Linked DNA regions of Kluyveromyces lactis. The protein of the gene in region 1 interacts with the protein of each later gene in a pairwise test. Links are inferred from orthologs where the notes say so. Each region holds a gene or a part of one and is shown in the gene's direction. Other genes may lie near its edges.

Region 1 (4,134 bases):
CATTAGATAAATATACGTGGGACCTATGGATATATCACCATGGCAGTGATTTTCCTGTGGAGAACGTTCCTTTGAAGATTAATGTGATCAAGACTTTGAGCCAAACGCTTGATGATTATTCACGTCGAAGTGACTCTCAATTCGTGGAAGTTATTGCACGTACACTTCAGTATCTAAACAAGTTGGTACAGGCGTCATTACTGAGTGGTGTTCAGCCGCAAATGATGACACCCAGTCTTTCTATGGGCCCACCGCTGAGGAAACCCGGATATCAGGATAGAGAGACTGTTCATCGCTCTATATTGAACTCCAAACGCAGACCAAGTGCTAACGGAAGCGATTCAGCATCTATAATTAGTGCGAAAAGTTCGGGAAACAAGAGTATAGCTTCGACGAAGTCAAAGAGAAGCATTTTCCAAAAAATGAAAGGTATGTCACGTTGGTCTCAACACATTTCAAGCGAAAACAATCCAGACCATAAAGGCAGAGCATCAAGTTCAATTAGCCCCTTTAACCGACAATCGTCATCAATCCCAAATATGAATGGTTCTGTTAATTCCAGCTCATCTCGAGGTACCAATACCCCATCTAATAGAAAGAGTTCTTTTTCTACTAATTCATCTGATGCGACCTTTTTGAACAATAACAAGACACACTTCAGAAAGCAAGACTTATCAGGAATGCCCGAATACATCTCGTGGGTACAAAAACTTACATTTCAGGTCCTACAGCTGCCCCAAACCTCACAGAATGATATCATTTTCTCTTTCATCAACAAATGCATAATCCCATTCATATTAAATGACGGACATTTACTTCAAATACAAATTATACAGAAAAACGTTATCTCAGCTTTCCTCAGCGCTTGATATGGCGGTCATATAGTTGGACAATAAATGATAGTACTATGTATTTTAGACCCGTAATTAAGGATGAATCACCAACGGTAACATGAAGAACCAGTCGTTAGGTATCGGTCGCAAGTCCGGGTAACGAGCATTCGCTATTTGGGAACAGAATGGAAATTTGGAAGCAAGACGTGGACTTTTAAAGAAACAAACATTAGAAAGTAAGTTGCACTTCGTAAAAAACCAAAACATAAGAACCATCAAGGGTCGTAGTATAGTCTGGTCACCGAAAGTGCTCAAAATTGTGGTAAGAGGTTTGCTAACGTGGACGAATTATATATTGGTGCAAATAGAGCAGTTTCGTTTTGTTTTTTTTCCATTTTCCTCATAGTTTATACGTTTCATCTCAACAATTCGCTGGACTTCATTTAGAGCATCTCAGCCGTATCATACCGTTCGAGTTCCAGAAATACCTACAAAATCAGTATGGCATCTAATAAAGTACCTAAGCTAACCCATATAGATACCACTAATTTACGGAGTACCAGTGGAGGCGTGCCATCTGTTGGAGAAACACCCTTAGGTGCAGGGTTTCAGCCGCAGAAAACATTCCCGTTGTTTATTTGTATCACCGAGTACAGTAAGCGTATGGATGACGAACTAGATATGAGGCCTGGAGACAAGATTCAAGTGGTCACCGATGATGGGTCGTATAACGATGGTTGGTATTTTGGTAAGAATCTAAGAACACAAGAAGAAGGCCTGTATCCCAAAGTTTTCACTCAAGTCATTGCTATGGAACGCAAACCAGCCCTGATGAGGGCAAAAAGCTCCAAGAGAATCGCAAGTCCGTTTGCCTCTGGAAGCAATACAAATCTTTCATACCCGTCCCAGGATGGGTCCACCAGTGAGCTACCTACCCCTCAGCCGTTAGAAACTGCACAACCCGCAACTTATAGGAAATTTGATAATATCAAAGCGCCCAACTCAGACATGATAAAAGTTCCTGTGGATAGGAACATATCAATGAAAAGCACAATGAGTGATATAGATAAGGCACTTGAAGAGTTAAGGGGTGACTCTTTCCCCTCTGGAACTGATTCCATCGATTATGATCAAAGACCTGGGTTGAAAAGACTTGTTTCAGGTTCATCATTAGATTTCACCAAAAGTAATAGCCTGGCTTCTACTGGAACCAACGAATTACGCCCAGAAAATGTGAAGAATTGGGTTCCGGAACAGGTTACAGCTTACCTCATCTCATTGGGATTCGATGTGGAATCAGCATCGAGGTTCCAAAAGCATAAAATTTCAGGTACAATTCTTTTGGAACTAGAATTAGCGCATTTGAAGGAATTGGAGATAAACTCGTTTGGAACTCGTTTTGAGATCTTTAAAGAAATTGAGGCTTTGAAGGAAATATCGACCCAGAATGGCACTTCTGCCAATAACAGGAATAGTTTGATGCCCGCTGCATCATTCAAACAAAATGCTGGGATAACGATAACCTCACCTTCTAACCATGATATTCCAACGTATCGAGGCCACCTAAGGAAAACATCACAATCTATGGAGGAACTAAATTCAAATTCGACTCCAACTCCAAAGAACTTCGTAACCCCATCGTCTGGAACACACACCAAAAGCTCTCAGAAACCTAGACCAGCATCCTTGCTATTTACTAATGAAACTACTAAAGCTCCGGATATTTCAGAAGATGTGTTCGCGTCGCCTAGACGTGCCCCAAAGCCTCCTTCATACCCATCACCAGTCCAGCCTCCAAAATCACCTATGGTTAGTGCTTCTAGTTCTGGCTCTGGCGGTAGGTTCTTGTCACCTCAACCTAACGCAATGTCCAGTGCTCAAACTTCCAAATACGCACATCCCACGATATATGAACAAGTGGCAGATGGTAAAGCAAAGGCAAAGGAGGAAAAATCGAGGGAGGATGAGATTCACGACCAGTTCGAATTTCCTCCTAAAAGGAAGCAGGGTCCAACTTCTAGTACCCCTAGCCTTCCAAACCCATATTTCAAGGAAACACAATCTATCGAACGAAACCCAAGTCCAACTGAGCAAGTTTCAGAGAATCGCGGTAGTGTAGTCTACTCCGGACATGTCAAAACCAAATCAGGCGGATCCTTCGTCGAACTGTTTAACAGGATATCAATGCTGTCGGAAAATACAGAAAATAAACAGGCCGATCGTGAATCTGATGCAGAAACTGGTGTTAATATGGAAAGACCTTCTTCTAGTGTATACGGGCATTCCAGAGCTACCTCATACTCTACCAATCATGGTAGAAAACCTTCCCAAGCCAACTCAGAAAGAAGGCATAGAAGGAATTCTTCTCTGCTGTCATTTTTCAAAGAGAAGGATGAGCATGCCGAGACAGATACTGCACATACTAAAACATCAAGAAGGACGTCGGTTTCTCATAGCAGGAAGAATTCATTTGTTAGTCCCTTCAACACTATTGATAACGGTACGCCTAGTCAAAGACATTCGATGATGCTAAGTACATCTCCTATTAAAGACCTTCCAAACCCCCAAACTCGAAAAGAAGCTAAGAGACGCTCTGTTAGCGCTAAAGAACCTGCCTCGGATGTATTTTATGACGCGAAAGATACTTTATACGAACCGGATGTTAATCAAAATAGGTCTGTGAGTGAATCAACTAAACCGAGAACAGCTCGCGGTACGAGCTCGAAAAATGTCGGAAAACAAAGAACTACCGCATTCACGGAAGGTATCCGTAGTATTACTATATCCGAAGCTATGCGTGAAGCAGATTGTTCAGGTTGGATGAGTAAGAAGGGTACTGGTGCTATGGGTGTTTGGAAAAATAGATTCTTTACGTTGCATGGTACCAGATTGTCGTACTTTGCCAATACAACCGAAAATAGAGAACGTGGATTGATTGATATAACCGCTCATAGAGTGTTGCCAGCAAAAGAAGATGACAAATTTGTTTCTCTCTATGCTGCTAGCACTGGTAAAGGGCGTTATTGCTTTAAATTGGTTCCTCCTCAACCTGGCTCCAAGAAAGGTCTAACGTTTACTCAGCCTCGTGTACATTACTTCGCAGTAGACACCAAAGAGGAGATGAGAGCATGGATAGCAGCTCTTATCAAAGCTACCATTGACATTGACACTTCAGTTCCTATTATCAGTTCATGTGCGACGCCTACCGTTTCATTAACAAAAGCTCAGGAAATGCTGTCCCAAGCGCGTGAAGAAACTAGACTGAGAGAGCAGCAAAGGTCACTGAATGAACATGACGAAG
Region 2 (4,220 bases), on another chromosome or scaffold:
ACTTCATTATTCCTCTGTTATCGGTCTGTAAATTATAAGTTTGACATACATAATCTGTATCTTAAAATCTCTATATTAAAGTTTTAAAAGTAAAATTCTTCTATACATATACATACGTTTGCCAGTGACATAACATAATACACCCGGCTCGATCAGAATAGGAAGTCGTCATTTCATACTTACAAGCTTGTTCACTTGCATTCTGGCTATACCTTGCTGATTTCTACTCCAGGCTCATCATCGATTTCTAGTACAGCATATTATAATCCTCCGTTGCCAACCACTATAAAAAACGAAATTCACCTGAGACACTCAAGAATGACTAACTTTGTTGTTGCACTGTGGGAAAGCATTTTCCAACCAGGAACATCGCCTCAATTGATCATTGCTACTCATATCTCGTTTGCACTATTGCTTTGCGTGTTGGGATCGCAGATCTATTTAACCAAAAATATCCATTTCATCGCATTAACGATTATCGCCACTCTACTATGGATCACCGTGACGTGGTTCATCTACGAATTACAAAACACAAAGCTTGTTACCAACGAAGATCTACAAACAGCTGAATCTAAAAAGACTGATAAGACTGAGCCTTCCAAGCCCTCTGAAGAGATAAATCTAGAGGGTGTTGCGAAACCTGATCCTAAACCATCATCTACACCTAAAAAAAGGAAAACAAAATCAAGAAGAGCTTAAGCTGGTGATAAACCATTCTCTCACCTGAGCAACTTTCTGATTAGACTACATTGGACAGTAAGTAAAATCATTTTTAAACGCAATAACCACTGCATAGACTTGTAACATTTGGGAACCATATAAAATTTAATTCAAATACAAAGGTTGCAGAAGCCATTATTTCGTCAGATTACTACGATCTATTATATACAACGTTGTGTAAAGGCACATCCTAAATAGCTGCCTTCCGTTTCCTTTTTCACTCTTCGTTATTGTTTCATGCATAATCCATACATTTCATGTTCGCTCGGAACTTCTATGGCATTCAGATTTCGTTTTGAGAAAAAAAAAAAAATATGAACGGAAAGTAAATGAATCTTAGGTCTGTTCAAACAATTTAGGAATCAGTTTGAGTTTTGGACTTAGTCACTATTAATAGGTTGTATTTCCTTTTATCTATTCTCTTTCTAGTACAGTCATTTAGCCTAGGTTCTGGCAGAATTTATAATCCAGAGGAACCAATCCACAGTACGAGTGTAATTGACTTATTCCCTACCGATTTTGGAACGCTTCTTTGGTACATCAGGACTTTTGATAACAACTTAGAGGTAAGTCCTTAGATTGTTTGTTTGTCATTGTTAAAGGAACTTTTCTATACGTAAGTGCAGCTCATTTTACAACTAGCCATCTTTTCGTTTCTTGTAGGTTGTGCTTTATTTCTAACCTTTTCTGATCGTGGAATATGGATGCCGGTGTTACTGCGCTTGATCAACGACGTGGAGCGGGCATGTCTTCCAAGGCCCAGCTGCGGAACCAGTTACTTCACAGCGATATAGGGAATATTGATATTACTAAGGAGCAGCAGATAAACAAGCAGAAGGGAAATACAGGCCCCATGGCCCCACCTGTAGTTCCGTTACAAGCCCAGCAGTACGAGTCCAATTACAACCCTTCGTCATATAATTACATGCAACAGCCTCGACAACAATCTCTGCAGATGCAACCAAGACCACATTTTGATTACCCAGGAGACAGTAGTAGGAAATCATCCATGAGTTCTTCTACTGCTTCCTTCTCTAATTTCTTCAAGGGTAAATACAAGAAACTCAATCAAAAGAGACACAGTCAATATGACGAAAAAGCTAATGAGGATGACGATAATACAGACTTTTCGGATCATGATTCCTCTTTCCTTACATTCAATGATATTTCTTCCATGAGAAACAATGGTGGGCACGCATACGGTTACGGTGGACATCTAGATGATACCTCTCCAATAATACCGACCATCGTGACTTCCGGAAACACAAACTCAATGAACAATATAGAATATAGAAAACTTATGATGAATCAAAAGAAAATGGCATTTAACAGTCTTGCGAAGCAGCAGCAGCAGCAAGCGCAGTTCAGTGCCTCAGTTCCAGGTGGTCCTAGAACAATGTCCTTGCAAAATTATCATCAACGTCCTATGGTAAGGCCTGGTGTTTCTGGCCCGGGAACAATGATGGGTCCAGCAGGCCCTCAGCAATCAAGAATCCCTAGGCCTCCAAACGGTAGCAGATTCAACTCTTTGATGGGAGGGGGGGCTTCGCCGATGGCTGGTAGACCAGGGTATCCTCCCCAACAAGGTCCTCCAAATGACCCACGCACAATGTCGTTAACTGCTGACAGACGTCCACCAACTCAAATGAACGGAAATTCACAGTTTAGAAACGGTTATCAAGGTCCGTATGCCGCGTCACCAACAGGATCCCGTAACATGGGTTTTCCTGGTCAAGTTAATGGACCAGTGCCGGCAAGAGGTCCACCTGTTACTGGTAGCTCCCAATATGGTCCAAACTCTGGTCCAAGAGCCATGTCCCTGCAAACTCAATCGTATCCGCAACCATTTTATCAACCAAAACAAAATGTATCGCAGGATAATGTATTCAATGAAAGACAAGCAACAAGCTCATTAGCCCCTCCGCCACAACCACAGCAGCTGGTGAATAAGGCGGCATCGGGCTCATCCTCTTCATATGCCAGTGTGAATAGCGTCATTTCTGGTAGGGTTTCTGAACAAAGTTCTCCGACAACTCCCTCGAACGCATCATTCGATGAACAAAATCAGATACCATCACTGCCAAGATCACCGGTGAAATACCAACTACATGCCACTTTGTCGAATGATAATGAGGACTTTGAAAAAGACAAGGCTCTTCCTAGCTTTAACGAGGAAGAAGAAGATCAACAAACCTACAGCGGGAATAAGGATCATTCACATAGCGATGAGCAATATGATTCTGATTCATTGGTGAAATTGAATATATTAACGTTAAGTGAACCCGCAAGACAAGTGTTGCAGATCGAGGAGGAAAAAACGGAAAAGGAATACGACCTAGTGGATTCCTCGGAAACGAAAAGCAACCAGCAAGATTCTTTGAATGATGACATAAATCTCAGGCCATCCACCGCCTTGATACAAAATATTCCCGTGGATCTATCACCAATATTAAATCCTGAAATCTCGGACAACTCTTCCAGTCGAAACTTTGGCGACAACGTCAATAGAACTGAATCAATTGTATCAAAAGCCCATGCGGCGGTCGACAGTGGGAATAGTAATACTAACGAAGTACTACAATCAAAACATGATTCCTATATCGCATGTTCTGGTGAAAAAGGCTTGAAGAAATCAGGCAGCAGTTTCCAGAAAGCGAAGAACTTTTTGATGAAGATCAAAAGGACGAAGAGTGGCGATCAAAGACCGCTCACTACTGTACCTTCGTCCGCTAGAAGCAGCAGGAGTTCGATGGCAGTAGATGAAGGATCCGAAATCCAGTTAAATGATACTTTCAGGGCGAAATCGGGTGCATCCAGCGATAAACGTAGAATATCATATCATTCTCTTTTTTCCGCGTCATCTGCTGGTAATCACCACGACCAATATAGTAATAAGGAAAAGACATTTGACAGATCAACTTTGCAAATTCGTAAGTCGATGATTATTGGTGAAAGCACAGAGATACAGGAAGTGCCTTGTCTTGAGAAAGAATATGTAAAACAGAAGGCTGAACCTATTTCCGCGTTGCCATATAAGCCATCTTTTGCTTCTGAAAAGGATCCCAAACAACCCCTGTTGATCACTGAAGAGTATTTGAATATTTTGAAACAAAATATGATGTTGATGCAAGAGCTACAATTGGTTTCCACGGAATTAGCCGAGTCTATCGCAAGGGAAGGTAGATTAGAAAGTGAATTAGAATCAAAGAATCCGAAGGAACCAGAGTCACCTCAGGCTCTTTCTCTACTGGATTTCGAAACGGAATTAAGGAAAAAATCGTCAAAGATTGTTGAGTTGATTCAAAATTTGAACGAAGAAAGGCTCAAACGTTTCATTGCAGAAGAACAGAATTTATTATACCAACATGGTATAAAGCCATCTCCTAACGAACTCGCCCTTCAAATAAATGAGCTGAAGACGCAACTGCAGTCCAAAGATCTACTGATAGAACAGTTGCAGAAGCAAGTACATGATTCTTGAAGCAAAATGAAAAGAATCC
Region 3 (3,473 bases), about 680 kb from region 1:
TGCTCATTTAAAGAAGGATGTATTTAATTTTGATCCAAATGATAAAAACAAGAGAAACAAACTCAAAACCTGGGAACTCCTCTTGGCTGGTGGGATCGCAGGTATGCCAGCAGCTTATTTGACCACTCCTTTTGATGTGATTAAGACCAGATTACAAATCGATCCCAGGAAGGGAGAAACAACGTATACAGGTGTAATCCATGCAGCAAGAACGATCTTGAAAGAGGAAAGCATCAAATCATTTTTCAAAGGTGGACCGGCTCGTGTGTTGAGAAGTTCCCCACAGTTCGGTTTCACCTTGGCAGCATTTGAAATGTTCCAAGGGTTATTCCCATCGCATTTCAAGAACCATGAAACAAACAGTAACAACGACAGCAACAATAACTCAAGCTCTTTTGGCGGACCCAAAAAGCATTCCGACGTAGAGGATGATACACCCATCGTCACTGGTTTGTTCACAACCTTCTACAAAAATTTCAAAAATAATCATTACAGCCATGAACCAGTTCCGATAGAATTCTATGGTCCATCAGTGGACCCATACTCCAGTAATTTCCTCAATTACTACTACAAGAGCTGTCAAATATCAAAAGTTTTCATAGACCTCGATTACAACTTTGCCAAGTTCGATTTTAATGTTTACAGAAAGTTCCAAGATGAATTGAAACGAATTGGCCCTAAGAGCAACTAATGTACATTATGAACTAAGTTCGAAACACTATTTAATACGTATGCATTTATATCATTGTATACACACGCGCATCAAGGTGCGGTACTAATGTAAACACCTATTTATTGTCTACTTCCATTTTCTTCAATTCTTGTCACCTGACCTTCAAATACTAAGTGTTTACTATCTTTCCTGATCTGGAATTCAGATCAACAGTGAAATCAAAACATCAACACCTTACTGACTGTAAGAATCTTTGATCTAAACGCAGGTTAGAGGTTTGTCAACCCAGTATAGTAATTGTAGCAACTAACAACCATCTACTTATTGAGGTAGATACATTTATTTTTGAAATTGCTTGTTGTTGAGGGAATTCTTTGGAAACAAGTCTATTTTAGAGGATACTATCCCAGGTATCAATAACAGTTGATCTGGAAAGAAGGGAAATACTACAACCAGAAGCACTATCTTGGACAAATACAATGAGTAAAGAGCCATTGGAGAGTGCAGTTAGGCCACCAAGCGCTAGCAACAACCCTAATTACAACAGACTTTCTGCTATGATCGAGAATTACAGCTTACATGAGAGTTTGGATGATGAAATATATATGCCAAGCAAGGGAATAGATTCTGCTGAAAGGGCATCTCCACAATTGTCATATACATCTAACGATCAAAATGTGGCATTCTTCAATACGTATGGGTCCCCTCAGCCTTCTCCAGATGGGAATCGTTTACAATTAAACGGTCAATCGCCAGGAAACAGAGAAAGCATAATATCGGCTTATTCAGGCACTGTCCATGAAGGTGTTCCAGTCTCCTATATAGTCAAAAATAACAGTACTACCGCTGTGAAGAAGGAGAATTTTGAAGAGCCAGCTTTACCGCCCTTCCCTACTAAGAGCGAATGGTCAGCTGCATCAGCAGATGCATTGTCTGAATTAACAACAAAACCAGTAGGAAACTCTATTGATACGGAAGAACCTCAGGTTTCGTTAAAGAAAGAACAGATTGGGCAACCAGCTGAAACAGATACGACTCCTACTTTAGAGAAAAACAACTCATTAAAACTTGTATCTATGGAGATGTCCCATCAGAAGGTCCCTTCATCAATCGCATCAGGTAATCTAGCAAGCGAAAGTGGACATTCCTATAACGCATCTGCCACAAGTAATTCGGGATCCAGCATGGTAAATTTGGACCATACCTCGCAATATGGTGCTACTGGTAACAGTGGTGACTGTCAACATCTATCTCAACTTGAAACGACGACAATTAAAGAGGAATCGTACGATGAGCAACAACAAACTCCAGTTTCTGATTATAATAACATCCCCAAGGTCAATGTCACAGAAGCAATTTCGGACACTACACCACTAAACATATCACAGGCTCCAAGCCAGCAAGATATATCTCAGGTATCCGAAATCAAATCAATTGCTTCGAGTATATTACCACCACTAGAAACTCAAGTTAACAGTAAGAAGACCGCTGGTGCTGAACCAGAACTTGAAATCATATCAGACTTACATCCAACAGTACCACCAAGAAGCGCAAGAAGGCCCAAGTCACATATATTTATCAAGGAAAGTTTAGATGATATTCAGAATCAACTTGCAAAGGAGATGGGGAAAGGTCACAGTGCCAGTGCAAGCCGGAGTGAGAGACATTCAAGACAAAGCAGTGTGAGATCTGAAAGTTTCTTCTCTGCTACTGAGCAAGATGATACCATGGGACCACAGGAGGATGGATACACTACTAGGCCACTACCTTCTATTCCAAGCTCATCATCGTCAAGATTGGAGACCCCAGAGAACCAAATCACACAACAACCGAATGACCAGGCAGTGTGCAATGTAAAAGATCCAGAAGATGATGATGATTACGAGGACATAGTAGAGAAAGGTGCTGATTCCACTAAAGCTGCCTCATCAGTAAGGACTCCACAAAGTAAGCTGCCAAAGGCTCCCAAGAAAGGCCATTCGAAGACCAGATCCAAATCTCACCAACGTCAAGGCCAAAACCAAAGCCACAATCAAACCAAAAAAATCGGATCCAAACACAACAAAGAACTAAGATCCTTCGATATAGATACTATCTCACAACTATTGAATGTTACAAAGGGAACCCTGATAGGGTCAGAATTCTCTAACCTTGGTATGAAGATCGAAGAGAAAAGAGCTCTTGAAAGATTGGTCGATTCTCTCTCTAGATTGACTGCAGATATGGTTCTGGATCCAGAAAAGTACCAAGAAGGTTTAAGAAGACTTGAAAGAGCTACTAAAGCCCTTGATGGGTTTTGATACGAATTTTTTGTGCTTTTTCTCTTCTCAGTTTTGTATTAACGTTATCAGTAAAGAATCAATATATACCAAATGTAATAAGTATTGAAAGAAAAATTCTTAAATCAAAGAAGGAAACACTGGCTTTGATTAATAAAAGACGTTGCAAAAGATGCCTACGGTTCAATCTATTGTCTCTCACAGTGTTGATACCAGTCGTTTAAGCTTGTATAAGGAGCCAATCTAAGGACAGAGGTGGTTTACGATATGTTGAATGCTGCCAGAATGAACTCATCTCTTTTATTTAAAGCTCATCTCCATAATGTAACAACAAGAGCCACAAGAAGACTACTTTCACAGAGCTGTAAACTGGGGCAGAAGCATGTCAGCAGCACCGCAGATGCTATTGAAGAACATAATACCATTTCTGAGGTGATAGAAGAGATCAAACAGAAAAAGAACCCGGATAAAGAGGCGATGAACAGGTTATTGAATCCAGTGTTTTTCAATAAACAGATCGT
Region 4 (3,788 bases), on another chromosome or scaffold:
TTTTGAGTCTTCCATTGAATCTTGCTCATTCTGTAGCCGTAGATATGTTTCCGGGAATCCAACTTCAATTTCAGCATCCGATTCTATTAATTCGTTTACAAGGTTGTCGTCTCTGGAATTAAACGTTCTACGAGATATTTTTCTCTTGGCTAAACCTTTACTCCGTGAATTTTCATCGTAGTGGTTATTTTTATTTCTTCCTTGTCTATTACTTTCAACTGTATTGTTATCAAGTGCTTTCTTCCACGCCATTTTGGGTAATACACCTTTGTATCCTGTTCTGATATTGACTTGCCTTCCTCTAAAAACAACGTTATCATCATAGGATAAACTGGATCTATCAAACTGATTCGAGTCACTTTCCGAATGACACTCGTCACGAATTTCATCGCTGTCTAGTTCAGCATTACCATATACCTCATCATCATCATCATCATCTGAAATATGGAAATGGTGATGCCTTCGAAGCCTTGTTGACGCAATAGTCGAGTGTTCTTGCTGTGAAAGGCCGCCCTTCACAGGACTCGAATTGAGCACGCCCCCATTGTCCGTATTAACAGTAATATCTTGCCGGGAACCACTCGGCAGATTGATATGATCTGCTAGAGATTCGAAATTAGATACATCGTACCCTTGCAATAACTGCCGATGCCGTATTCTATCCAAACTATACGGCATCTTCTGGATTGCTTTACGCTTTCTCAATGCACGTCTTATACTATTAGAGTAAACTCCAATATCAGGAGGTGTCTGTGCTACGTTATCGAGACTGCCCGGAATGACGCGTACCTGGTATTCGTCATCGAAGATTGGAAATACATTTGGTTCCGAATGCAGAGGTATTACGATCTCTTCATCACTAGCCTCCGAATTGGGGACTACAGAGTCCTGATTCATCCCACAGAAACCACGCTATATGTCATACGCGGTAACACGTCTCTGTTGGTTGCTTAGCTTCTGAAATGGTAAGTTTCCATACTTTCCTGTTTCATTATCTCGGCCTAACTTCAGGAAATTACGTTTCTTGATATTTATCAACAAAAGATTTATGCAAACCAAATCAAACCTAAAGCTTTTTGATCTAGTAATGCTTTGAAGAAACATACCGTTTAAAAAGTGTACGTTGGATTTCCTAGCTAGTAGTTAGGTGTGTGGAAGCAGTAGGGTGAGGTACGTAAGGTGTGTCTGATAAAGATGGAAACACCACCACCAATTTCTAAATCAGCATCATCTGTGGAAACTAGTGTGACGAAACTATTGATTTCAACTAAACAACTATTACAAATTCTGACGCAATGGTCCAAGGGCAAAGTTACCGAGCGTAATGTTTCCGATGTGTATGTTCAATTGGGTAATGATTTCAAGTTAGTCAGTAGACATTTTACCCATGCTAGAATTGATATTTCGGATCTTGGCGATGTGCCAAAAGACCTTCGAAGAATATTGGAGGTGGCATTGAGAGAGACTGCATCTGAGGAAACGTTGAATAAATACCTACCGCAGATCAGAGATATTATAGTTAAACTCTTGGAGAAACTTAAGGTTAAACAGGCGATGATAAAACTGAGCAGGAATGAAGATGCTTTGAAATATCAGCATACTCCTCAAAGATCTTCCGTTTCATCCGTAGTCAGCGCAACGACATCTTTGGCTGGCGCGGGACCGACATCTACTTCAGCTCATATTGAAACAAAACAGATACCTACGTTAGAAGTTCCCAAGGGTTCTGAAAGCGATGCGTTAACTCAATTGAAAAAGGGAAATAATCTGCAAAGAAGAGCCTCGAAGAGGTTTTCAGCGTATCATATGGCGAAATTAGCCAACCAAACAGCTTCAGATCCATCGAATTCCCCAACGTCTAAAAATTTAGCAGTTCCAGCCGCTGCTGCAGCGGCAGCAGCGGCCAATGTTTCTGATACAGAAAGCATTAAAATGGAAAGACAGCCTTCTCGAATCTCTTCTGCTTCATCCGTAGATTATCATCCCATGACAGGAGCACCAGAACCAAAAGGTGATAACTCAAGCATAGATGAAATTGTTGTCTTTTTGAAGATCGGTGAGAAGGTGAAACGATGTGTAACTAGTTCTCACCTCTCTTTCAACAAGCTTAGACTTTTATTTGTTGAGAAATTTGCATATTCCCCAGGAGGTGATGTATTCCCTGACATATATGTGAAGGAACCCAAATACGAGGCATTTTACGAACTTGAAGAGAGTCACCTACATGGTATAATAGATGGGAGCGTATTCCAATTACAGGTACAATCATCGTCTCTAGATGAACAGTTCCGCCAACTTCAAGATGGTTTATTAGAAAAGCAAGATACAATTTTTCAAAATTTGAAAGAGATTATCCAAAATAGTACTCACGTATCGTCACCAGATTATTCAAGTGGTCCAAAATCCTCAGATTCTGCAACAGTTATACATGAGGATCATCGTAAAGAAGTTGCTCATATTAGGCACGAAATTACCGTTTTAAAACAGATACATAGCGACCAAAAGAGATCGCTTCAAAATACTATAAACGCTATCGTGGAAAAACTACAGAAATTCCAGAGCCTTTCAATAACTACAGGAAAGTCAGCTAATCGCGATTATATGGAAAAGTCCCAGTCGAAGTTATCCGAAGTTTCTGATAATCTTTTGAGTAAAGTTGACGATCTTCAAGATGTCATTGAGGCATTACGTAAAGATGTGGCCATTAGAGGTGCGAGAACACCCAAGAAGAAGATTGAAAATGTATCGTCTGAATTAGACTCCGCTAAGAAGGATTTGGATCAAATGAGAAATTATATAGATGTCGAAAAGCCAAATTGGAAAACTATTTGGGAAGCGGAATTAGATAGGGTGTGTGAAGAGCAACAGTTCATGACATTGCAAGAAGATCTCGTATTTGATTTACAAGAAGACTTGAATAAGGTTATGGAGACATTTGATTTGGTTAAATTGTGCTGCGAACAACAGGAAAAGGCCCCAAAGAAGAATAAGGGAAACCCCATTCTTCCGATAGCCAAGCCAGGCACATATAATATGATCCGCGATCAAGTCTTGACTGAAGTTCAGAATCTCAACCCAGATCATGACAGTAGAGTGGAAGCCATTAAAAAGGCAGAAAAACTAAGAAACAGAGAGAAAGAGTACAAGGAAAATGAAGCCTTTGAAGATGAGTTGGGCAATTTCGTTGAGAAAGGTAACTTCAAAAAGGCCGGTGGCATTGAGGAGATAGAACGCCTAAGAAAACAAAAAGACGAAGAAAATCTGCGTGTTAATTTTGGTCTGATATAGGTACAATAATTTTAAGTAATAGCATTAAAACTCTATTAATAGTTTCAAATCGCTGACATTTGTCAAAATGTCTGCAAATGCGTTCTTCCTTAATTTTAATTGTTCAAGGAAAACTGACAACACCAGTTCTTTTGACGCGACGGACTTTTCCATCGAGAACATATTAGCTGAAGAGAGGTTAAGATCAATTCGCTGAAAAATGTTGAAAACAAATTGTTTGAAAGATCTTCTGCTGCTTTTCTTCCTATTAAAAAGGACAATGAACGATTGAATTACATTTAACGCAACTTCTCTCAGGAACCTTGCAGCCGTTTCCCAAGAATTTAAGCGCTCGTCCAGCATATTATAAGATAGTCTCATCTCAAAGATCCAGAGTAATTTATTATACAGTTGCTTAGATGATCCCAAAACTGTTCCTAGGACATTATACGATGAGCGGTCTTTCCAAACTTCTAGGGTTCTTAGATTTAACTGCAGTGCACAAAAAGGTACATTTGTTG
Region 5 (3,420 bases), about 670 kb from region 1:
TTTCTTCTTGAACTTTTTCTGATCAAACACTTGAACAGTTAAGATCGAATTTTCACTCACATTTTTGAATTGAAATACTTCATTCCAGTAGGGATTCAACGTCTTCTTTGCAGCCGCTGTGGATTTCGTCTGAGAACCATCGATAGTCAAAACTGCAAACGGATCAGGAGATCTAAACACATCCCTCCTGTTCAATGACTCAGCAGCCACTAGTTTCACAGAGATAGACATATTTCGCAGCTTTTTATTTTTTTAATGGTTTGTCAATTTCAAATCCGATAATTTCTCCTTCAAAGTGGAATCTCAATAACAAATTGAAAAGTCTTCAAACACTAGATATCTGATAAGTGGTAGTAACAGCAATAATTATTAAACAAATAAAACCGCCCGAGAAAGCCTATAAGGTTTTATTTTTTGTCTTTTGTCTTCTTTAATTGTCGTAATTGCAAAGAAACAGAACAGGAAACAGAACCAGAAAAAAAGTTGATGATTCCTCTAAAAAGAAGCAAAGAAAAATCAGATCAATACCTTGCTCAATACCCTTTTCCGTACCGTCCTTTTTGCCACTGTCAATGCACGTTTGCTTATCCTCTAGCACCTTGATCTGATGATTAAATCGGATGTTGTTTGCAAGTAAAGTATCTTTGTTCTTGTTTTGTTTCCTTAATTAAAATATGCAAATCACAATTTTCTTTTCTCCTTTACTTGTCACGTGAGGAGATTGAAACCTGGAAAAAGAGTACTAAAGAGGGATACCAGGCTACGCCGAGTATGTCAGTAAATTCGGAAACGGCATTAATGGCGGTGGTAGCCACCAGGTTGCAAGAATCTGCCGTATTGCTGTCAGATGACGTGCATATGGGACGATTATGGGCATCACGTGACAAAAATCATATCGTCCAAAATGACATAAATATAAACAAGCCTTTGCCAGCTTTAAAGATGCTGGGTTTGTTTACAGGTAAACAAACCTCTTGCAAACATAAACAGGATGTTTGCTCATATGGCTGCCTAACACACTCAATAGGTAACGTGCCTTTCTCTAATTTTTGTTGCTTGTTCTGCGTTTGGTCCTATTTTTGATTGGCTCAGTGTTTGCTAGTGCTATTTTTATTTGCCCTGTATCATATATAAACATGTCGTTTCTAAAAGTGACCAGCTCTTACTCCTCTAATGGATGTACCTGTTAACAATCAATTATTCTCTGCAGTGCAAACATTACACAAAGTCAAATAAGAAACTGTATATTGCGAAAATTATGACTGAATTCTACAGGGCTCCAGAGATATTCAGACAGAACGCCATCATCGTCAAGAAGAGTAGAAGAGATATTAGCGATGACGAGAACAGTACTATTGTCAGGCGGAATTGCAAGATAGAGGCTTCGAAATTGAACAGTTCCTTGCTAAGGAAGGTTAGTGGTGATTTGAACGATGTCATTGTCACGAAAAAATTGAAGACAGATTGTTGGAAACTGTCAGAAGACACTAGGGACGTCACTTCAATGTCATTGGATAGGGACACCATTCTACTTTCCACATCACAGACATCGGATAATTTACAGTTGTTCCAATTGCGGAATAATGAAATTAATGAGCAGGCTCGCGGTGGGAAATTGCTCCATAGTTTACAAACCATTACTGTTCCAGGAAAATCTATTCTGGCTACAGATATCATGCAATCGCAGAATAATGACACCGTAGTTTCCTTCGATGATAAAGTCCATGACAGAATCTTACTTTCAGGACACTCTGATGGATATGTGAACTTAATTGCAACTTCAATCGAGAATGGGAACGCCAAAATTCTAAGACGTTTCAATCATTCCAAACATTTGAAAGTGATCACCGATAGCATGGATAGTGTTGATCTTGCTACGCAAATTTATAACACAAGTCGTTCAAAACCAATTCGTCATTTGAAGACCTGGAACAAGCATCATTTCACCTCTGTCATTAACGATTCGTTGTTTGTCTATGACGTGAACCAACAGTGCAAAGACCCATTATACTTGAACAGTTTCCCCGGTTTGGAACACGTTGATGTTAACCCAGTCAATCCATTCACATTTTCTCTGACAGGAACGAAATTTGGGCAGTCCGGAATTGCATTGTTGGATCTTCGTTTGGGTGATGGTAACGGAATACGTGTCCCTGGACCTCAGGACAGCAATGCCGAGTCTGGCAAATGTTATACTTCCAAATGGTTAGATGAATATACGGTCGTTAATTCGGTCGGAAAGGCATTGAAGATATGGGATATCAGATATGGGAAGGTTAGAGCACACCTGTTGGGTCATAACGGACATGTCAACAGTCTCGATTACGATAATGAAATGAAGAAAATATATAGTACAGACGATCAAGGCTTAATAATGTCCTGGGATATCAAAGATTTGAAATTCACCGACCAAGTAATGTGTTGCAGACCATCTCATGGTATCCAGAGCTTTGGATTACCAGCGGACTGTGTGCAAAACGGTAACATTATTCAATCTCCAGATCTGGAAAGAATCGGAAACAAGAAACATCTAGGGAGTCATTTCGTCGGCTTAGCAGACTCTCATTTCATATCCTTGCAAGATCAAGAGCTAAGATCGTACTCGGTTGTTGACATGCCAATGGTTTTACCTCCACCAAGGAACCCATTACGTCTACTCGAATCCGTGTCGACCGAAACGAAATCAGAACCTCCAGCTACTATGGTCTACTCCAGTTCAGATGAAACAACCAAGGATAGTAGCAATTCTGCGTTTGAAGATTCTGAGGATACTCTGGAATACGAAGCCCATTCTCCAATGACGCCTGCACTAGATAGCATGTTTGACGGTAAAACCCATTCATTCGATATACCCACAATCCCTCTTCTGTCTGGCATTAGAAGAGGCAGCGATGCCACATTTGTATGCGAAGGCTTATGATACCCGTTCACCTCCCTCAATCACCTTCTGCAATTCATTGAAACCTGTTACCCATGTGGAAATTATATTGCATTGCATTCACTTCAAATTTAACTTACTATCAGCTAATAAATAATTCAATGATTAAATATACTCTTCAAGTGCTTAATTCGTTATTTAAGTTCCTTGAAACTAAATTACAATTTATATTAAAGTAAAGTAAAATATTATGAATATGTATTTCTATTTACATATCTGGATGTTCATGTAATTTGTCAGTTCTCCTCAGCTAAAGCAAGGGTGTAAGTTTGTCTAATAAATGCGAACCGAGCGAGAAAGATCATGGGAATGGGAGAGACACAAAGATATGAAAGGTTCCTTCTTGCCTTGGAAAAAAAATTATAAAAGCAAAACGCTCAGCGTTAAATGTATCCGTGTGTGCCTGTTATTGGAGAACCCAGACGATCAACGCCTTTTCAGCTCTTACAACAGGACAACAAATAGGTAAGGAGGGTTAAATT
Region 6 (2,275 bases), on another chromosome or scaffold:
CAAACGGGAGAGGCGTACTATACGAAAGTGATGATGAGGATGAAGATGAAGATGGATCGACCGAAAAGGGTATTGCGAACACATTAACGTACAGAGACGATGACATTTATTTATCGGATACTTCCATATCATCCATCACTCAAAAACATAGAAAGAGGAGAACCATGTCGATGACTAGTATCTATACTGATTACGAAGGAGAAGAAGACGAAGAAGAAGATTTCGAAAAAGAAGCCATCGCAACAGTTGAAAGAGCTATAGAGAACAACCACGATTTAGACACATCAATGCTTGAACTAAACACTTTGAGAATGAGTATGAACGTCACTTATCATGAAGTCAGGAATGCTTCTGTTATCGCTATATTCAGAAGAGTTTACCACTTTGTAGCCACACAAACACTAGGTCCAAAGGACGCTGTCACTAAAGTCTTACAACAATGGGGTCCTGTGTTTAAGAGACAAGCATTTGATAGTGATGAGTTCATTGATCTAATGAATATCATTCTGGATCGTGTGCTAGATCAGAAATTCGATAAACCAGATTTCATTCTATTCCATGTATATAATGTCTTGTATGATTTGGATATCTTAGAGGAAGATGTCATTTACAAATGGTGGGACTCTGTAAGCGGTGATTCAAAATACAGCGAAGTTACTGCTCTACTGGCCAAATGGGTGGACTGGCTAAAGACTGCAGATGAAGAATCATCTGATGAAGAAGACAGTGACGAAGACGAATAAGTCAATAACGTCATAAATGCCCTTTGAATTTTCATGGTTCCTCCGAAGTTCAAGATTGGTCAATATCAATCAATATAATGTAGCATGTAGCATTTCGAGTAAACGTGAGATAACCATATGCAAAGTAATCTATAGACAAATATACGTACGCATTTCAAGGCTAGTGTCCTCACTACCGGACTGCCAACCGCCTATGCGGTCTTCCTGTATTCTATATGGGAGAGTTTGACTGAAAATAATTCAAGTCACGTTACAACGTTACCCTAACTTCCTTATCTATTAACATATTCCCATTTCAAAATTGAAATAACAGAACAGGAGGACGAAGATATGTATGTGATGAAGGAGAGTAGTCAGACAAATTGGATGTTAGACATAGCACAGTCAGCCGGAAGTAACACCGTAAAGGCCTGCAGTGATAGTAGTATAAAAGCAAGGAAGAAAGGAATTTAAAACATGCAAACTCTTAAGTGTGTTGTTATAGGTGATGGTGCTGTCGGTAAGACGTGTCTTCTAATTTCATACACAACTAACCAGTTTCCAGCCGACTACGTTCCAACCGTTTTCGACAATTATGCTGTTACGGTGATGATTGGCGATGAGCCATACACGCTAGGTCTTTTCGATACAGCTGGTCAAGAAGATTATGATAGATTAAGACCGTTATCATACCCATCAACAGACGTGTTCTTGGTTTGTTTCAGTGTTATATCTCCTCCTTCTTTTGAGAACGTAAAAGAAAAATGGTTCCCAGAAGTACATCATCATTGTCCTGGTGTTCCATGTTTGATTGTGGGTACTCAGATAGATTTAAGAGATGATAAAGTGATTATTGAAAAACTACAGAGACAAAGGCTTCGTCCTATCACTCCAGAGCAAGGTGAAAGGTTAGCCAGAGAGCTTAGAGCCGTAAAATATGTTGAATGTTCGGCTCTTACCCAGCGTGGTTTGAAAAACGTTTTCGACGAAGCTATTGTTGCTGCTCTGGAACCTCCAGTCATTAAAAAGAGTAAAAAATGTATTATATTGTGAAAAGTGATCGGCCTTGTATTTTTTTTTTTTATTACCAGTACATGTATCAGGTAAGAAGTTTCTCACTCAAGGATGAGCGTTCTTAACAATCTTCCCGTTCACCATCAAGTCCAGTTTTATATTTATAGATGATTGTGAGATAGAGAGTGTGTTTCCAAGTTTTTGCAGGTTCAAAAGAGAAAAAAAGCTCTACCCCCCATCTCCAGAAAAAGCGTTACATTTCACTAAACCAACATCCTAAAACTACCAAAACTACTTCATAACTCTTTGACATTTCTATAGACAAACTGAAGTACCAAACGTTTGGTTCTTTGTTTGAATTCTAAACCGTCTAAAATACGAAACTGGTTCGAAGCGAAAAACTAAACACTATGGAGTATCGCTTTGTTTAAGTATAAAACCTCAACGAAATTACTCTTCGTGTGTGGATTTCATTATCTCATGATATATTTAACCTCTCAGGCTTCTAATTGACTTTTAGCTCAATAGTTTATATAAAT
Region 7 (4,207 bases), on another chromosome or scaffold:
GAATTTCAGATTAACCTATTAGATTCGGGATTCACGAAGATCAGAATTAGCCCAGAAGGGAAGGAACTCTCTAAGGAGAAGTTCCAAGTTGGTGACAAATCATCAAAGCAAAGCTTCAACGAAGAAGGATACTGTGGACCATGTTATGGTGCATTAGACCAATCAAAGAATGACGAGCTACCACAAGATCAAAAAGTATGCTGTCAAACTTGTGACGATGTGCGTGCAGCCTACGGACAAAAAGGATGGGCATTCAAGGATGGTAAAGGTGTGGAACAATGTGAACGTGAAGGATATGTTGAGAGCATCAATGCCAGAATACATGAAGGTTGTCGTGTTCAAGGACGTGCTCAATTAAACAGAATACAAGGTACCATCCACTTCGGTCCAGGTAGTTCAATGCGTAATATCCGTGGCCATTTCCACGACACTTCGCTATACGATGCATACCCACATTTGAACTTCAACCATATAATCAACACCTTGACGTTTGGAGAGAAACCCAAGGATGGAGACAGCGAATTGATCGGTTCTGCTTCAATTTCACCATTAGACAGCCGCCAAGTGTTCCCAGACCGCGACACACACTTCCATGAGTTCTCATACTTCTGCAAGATCATTCCTACCAGATTCGAATTCTTAGATGGTAAAAAAGTTGAAACTACTCAATTCAGCGCCACGTACCACGATAGGCCTCTAAGAGGGGGCAGGGACGAAGACCATCCAAACACTGTTCATTCTAAAGGAGGTGTCCCAGGTGTTTTCTTCAATTTTGAGATGTCGCCTTTAAAAGTCATAAATAAAGAACAGCATGCAACATCATGGTCTGGTTTCCTTTTGAATTGTATCACAAGTATTGGTGGTGTCTTGGCAGTTGGTACTGTCATTGACAAAATCACATACAGAGCACAAAAATCTATTTGGGGTAAGAAGAGCTCTTAAGCAAAGATAGATAGAAAGAGAAATTGTACTACTGTTCTATAAAAGTACATATATAGAAGTTATGTGTGAGTTTGACACTTGTAATTCTTATTTTCCAGTTATAGAACGAAACTCTAGCGTATATCAATATTCAATGCCAGATATGTAGGATTATTACACGACACCTGGCAAGTGCCGCTAATTGGTGTTATACTCTTAAATACCACTGAGAAGTATCTCCTATATAAAAAGAACCTCCAGAATTTGATCCACAACAATGTTTTCGGGCCCCAAAGGTTTTGACCCAGAGATCTCAGTATTGACATTACTCTTGAAAGAAAAAAAAAAAAAGAATAGAATAAAACAATACTGAAATTAACGAAACAGCCAGTGTCTTCGAAGTGAAGTTAAAATAATTCTTATCGTTGTAAGTCTTCCAGAGCTGTACAAACAAGGTTTTTACTATCTAGGAGTGTCAGAGAATAATTCTGTTTTAGTTGCAGCCTGCCATAATGGCGGTAAATCCATCAGTATCCAATGTTTCGCTGACGAGTGTGCGTTCAAATAGCACACATTTATTAATGAACAAAAAGGTGACAGCACAGGAGTCATTATATCATATGTGTTTAATGATCAAGAAGAGATTAGAGTTTCTGCCACAGCTCCAACCATATTTGAATTTAGCGCATTCGAGTTCAGAGATTCTAGCAGAACACCAAGCCCTGCTTTTATCGCAGAAACAGCAGTCACAGCAGCAACATCGGCAGCGAGGTTCGCATTACGAAGGTAGTAGTGCACAAAGTACAAATGGTAGACTTTCCTCCTCAAGTACTCTTCATAGGGACTCTAGTTTCTCGGCTACGAGTTTTGGAGAGGACTCTGAGCATTCTCAGTCCTTTAATATGGAGGACACTTTACTGACTTTTTCTGTTGGTATTACGCCTATATCTGTCGATTGTGACCCTGTAACGCAACTTTCTAAACTATTTCAACAGGGTTCGCCACTTTGTATTATATTCAATGCCGTAAGACCTCAATCTAAGCTAACGGTGGTCTCGTCAGATGATATTAAGATTTGTAAAAAATCTATCTACGACTTCATTCTTGGTCTGAAACAACATTTTGCATTTAATGACGAAGAACTGTTCACCATTTCTGACGTTTTTTCAAATTCGACAGATCATTTCTTGAAAGTTTTGGACGTTGTGAATACGTTGCTGAATGCTGCACCTGAAGTATTCCCACAAATTGATATGAGCACACAGTTGGAATCTCAACGTCTTGCGAAACCACAGACAGAATATGATAAAATTGTCAAAGAATTCATCGAGACTGAGAGAAAGTACGTGCATGATCTAGAAGTTCTGAATAAGTATAGGAAGCAACTTTTAGACAACCAAATTATCAACTCGGAAGAACTGTACATGCTGTTCCCCAATTTGAATGACATAATCGATTTCCAAAGACGGTTTTTAGTGTCATTAGAAGTCAACGGTCAAGTTCCATCTCAAAAACAAAGAATCGGGGCCTTATTCATGCATTCCAAATATTTCTTCAAGCTATATGAACCTTGGTCCATAGGTCAAAATGCAGCGATTGATTTCATTTCGTCTAGTTTCAACAAAATGAACCCAAATAGCACTAATTTTGTCATCGGTAATAAAATGGAACTGCAATCATTCCTTCTCAAACCAGTCCAAAGATTGTGTAGATACCCATTACTTCTCAAAGATCTTTTACAACACGCAGAAAGTGATTCTAAAGAATTGGAGATTGCCTTGGGTATTGCCAAATCCATTGCAAGGAATATTAACGAAAATCAAAGGAGAACAGAAAATTACGAGGTTGTCAAACGTCTCTATGGTCGTGTGGTAAATTGGAAGGGTTACCGCATCGCTAAGTTTGGTGAGTTATTGTACTTTGATAGAATATCAATATCAACGAGCAATTCCAATGAGCCAGAAAAAGATTTTGAAGTGTATCTATTCGAAAAAATCATACTATTATTCAGTGAGGTAAGCCAGAAGAAAGGAAGCTCAATAAGTTTAAAAAAGAAATCGAATTCATCATCTGTTCTTCATCTTTCAAACTCTTCGAACACTAACATGAATGATTTCACGAAGAACACTGGGAAACTGGATTTAAGAGGTCGAATTATGATAGTTAACCTGACTCAAGTCGCTCCGATTGATAACTATTCCCTGAACATTATTTGGGAATCAGCCAAGGAAAAGGGGAACTTCATACTAAAATTCAAAAATGAAGAAACCCGCAACAACTGGGAAAGCTGCCTTCATCAGCTTCTTCGTCAAATTCGCAGCGAGTCCTATAAAAGTGTCAATACGAATAGCGATATGTCGTCATTCTCCTCACCAGTCCAATATTCTCACAACAGTGTTGCCTCCATTGGTAGCACTCTGACCAGACAAATCTCAGAAGTCCTTCCCAAAAGCCATATGTCCAATGCCCGTCAGTCATTTGCAAGCGAATACAGATCTATATCCGAAAGTTACAAAAATTCAATCCCTGACACTATGCTTCTACTGAGGGTCTCATTCAACAACGATTTTTACACAGTCTTAGTATCCTTAGACTGTTCTGCGGAAGATCTGTTGCTTGCGATTAAAAGGAAATTGGCACATTTAGGAGTAATCACGAAGGTAAAATACCAGGATGAAGATGGTGATTTTGTGATGTTGGAAAGTGATGATGATTGGTATGTTGTAAAAGATATGCTGAAAGAGAGTAATGAAAGACTATTGAACGTTTGGGCTTATACAAACTGAGACATATTAATAATATTTTACCTTTGATTGTATTATACATAGATTTCACTTTTTGGCGTTTTTCAAAGGTAAATGAAGACAATTCCAGTTTGACAGGTTCACTTGGTTGATTTAATATAAGTTCAGTTATTAATGAAAATCATATTTTACAGATATGAATAAATAAATTATATTAGATAAATAAATATTTCAGGCCAAATTTTACTCTGACTAATTTAACAAACTCAGGTAAGTGTGTACTTTGGACCATCACCTCCCTCAGGAACTTCCCAATTAATGTCCTGAGTTGGAACCTTGATGTCACAGGTTTTACAATGAATACAATTTTGTGAGTTAATCTGGAATTTCACACCCAATGGGGAGGTTTCGTCTTCAACATACTCATAAACACCAGCTGGACAAAATCTTGATTCGATTCCCTTCCATTTTGGATACGCAATACTAGTATGTTTTTCCATATCTTGCTCAGGGACTCTTAAATGGCATTTTTCGTCATCATC

Evidence for each region.
Region 2: the proteins of KLLA0_E20879g (region 1) and KLLA0_F17545g interact in a two-hybrid assay, tested with the Saccharomyces cerevisiae proteins (4 studies listed by BioGRID, with this or other methods). The link is inferred for Kluyveromyces lactis from reciprocal best matches to the Saccharomyces cerevisiae genes BOI2 and EPO1.
Region 3: the proteins of KLLA0_E20879g (region 1) and NBA1 interact in a two-hybrid assay, tested with the Saccharomyces cerevisiae proteins (2 studies listed by BioGRID, with this or other methods). The link is inferred for Kluyveromyces lactis from reciprocal best matches to the Saccharomyces cerevisiae genes BOI2 and NBA1.
Region 4: the proteins of KLLA0_E20879g (region 1) and BUD6 interact in a protein complementation assay, tested with the Saccharomyces cerevisiae proteins (3 studies listed by BioGRID, with this or other methods). The link is inferred for Kluyveromyces lactis from reciprocal best matches to the Saccharomyces cerevisiae genes BOI2 and BUD6.
Region 5: the proteins of KLLA0_E20879g (region 1) and DSE1 interact in binary tests that used the Saccharomyces cerevisiae proteins (3 or more experiments, as listed by UniProt). The link is inferred for Kluyveromyces lactis from reciprocal best matches to the Saccharomyces cerevisiae genes BOI2 and DSE1.
Region 6: the proteins of KLLA0_E20879g (region 1) and CDC42 interact in a two-hybrid assay, tested with the Saccharomyces cerevisiae proteins (2 studies listed by BioGRID). The link is inferred for Kluyveromyces lactis from reciprocal best matches to the Saccharomyces cerevisiae genes BOI2 and CDC42.
Region 7: the proteins of KLLA0_E20879g (region 1) and CDC24 interact in a two-hybrid assay, tested with the Saccharomyces cerevisiae proteins (2 studies listed by BioGRID). The link is inferred for Kluyveromyces lactis from reciprocal best matches to the Saccharomyces cerevisiae genes BOI2 and CDC24.

What each region holds. Positions count from the first base shown.
Region 1 is NC_006041.1:1,863,142-1,867,275, reverse strand, and holds the start of KLLA0_E20879g (uncharacterized protein), read left to right. Parts: upstream 1-1,334; coding exon 1,335-4,134. Other genes in the region: KLLA0_E20901g (uncharacterized protein), read left to right, coding at 1-869. UniProt on the Saccharomyces cerevisiae protein: Protein involved in bud formation. Functions redundantly with BOI1 to promote the fusion of secretory vesicles with the plasma membrane at sites of polarized growth. Acts as an abscission inhibitor during cytokinesis in response to chromatin bridges.
Region 2 is NC_006042.1:1,609,820-1,614,039, reverse strand, and holds KLLA0_F17545g (uncharacterized protein), read left to right. Parts: upstream 1-1,420; coding exon 1,421-4,201; downstream 4,202-4,220. Other genes in the region: PKR1 (Pkr1p), read left to right, coding at 319-699.
Region 3 is NC_006041.1:1,182,024-1,185,496, reverse strand, and holds NBA1 (Nba1p), read left to right. Parts: upstream 1-1,152; coding exon 1,153-2,973; downstream 2,974-3,473. Other genes in the region: AGC1 (citrin), read left to right, coding at 1-691; MTF2 (Mtf2p), read left to right, coding at 3,220-3,473.
Region 4 is NC_006039.1:1,621,553-1,625,340, forward strand, and holds BUD6 (formin-mediated actin nucleation enhancer), read left to right. Parts: upstream 1-1,194; coding exon 1,195-3,288; downstream 3,289-3,788. Other genes in the region: MMS22 (Mms22p), read right to left, coding at 1-897; EST2 (telomerase reverse transcriptase), read right to left, coding at 3,313-3,788.
Region 5 is NC_006041.1:1,194,944-1,198,363, reverse strand, and holds DSE1 (Dse1p), read left to right. Parts: upstream 1-1,177; coding exon 1,178-2,920; downstream 2,921-3,420. Other genes in the region: RSP5 (NEDD4 family E3 ubiquitin-protein ligase), read right to left, coding at 1-231. UniProt on the Saccharomyces cerevisiae protein: Involved in cell wall metabolism and required for the separation of the mother and daughter cells.
Region 6 is NC_006037.1:381,743-384,017, reverse strand, and holds CDC42 (Rho family GTPase CDC42), read left to right. Parts: upstream 1-1,199; coding exon 1,200-1,775; downstream 1,776-2,275. Other genes in the region: GCD6 (translation initiation factor eIF2B catalytic subunit epsilon), read left to right, coding at 1-743. UniProt on the Saccharomyces cerevisiae protein: Involved in development of cell polarity during the cell division cycle, and essential for bud emergence. Affects signaling in the pheromone-response pathway through the STE20 protein kinase.
Region 7 is NC_006039.1:1,097,198-1,101,404, forward strand, and holds CDC24 (Rho family guanine nucleotide exchange factor CDC24), read left to right. Parts: upstream 1-1,433; coding exon 1,434-3,707; downstream 3,708-4,207. Other genes in the region: retrograde cargo receptor ERV46, read left to right, coding at 1-942; CIR2 (electron-transferring-flavoprotein dehydrogenase), read right to left, coding at 3,932-4,207. UniProt on the Saccharomyces cerevisiae protein: Promotes the exchange of CDC42-bound GDP by GTP. Controls the polarity of calmodulin, and the calcium regulatory process of bud emergence. CDC24 may be involved in the initial selection and organization of the budding site.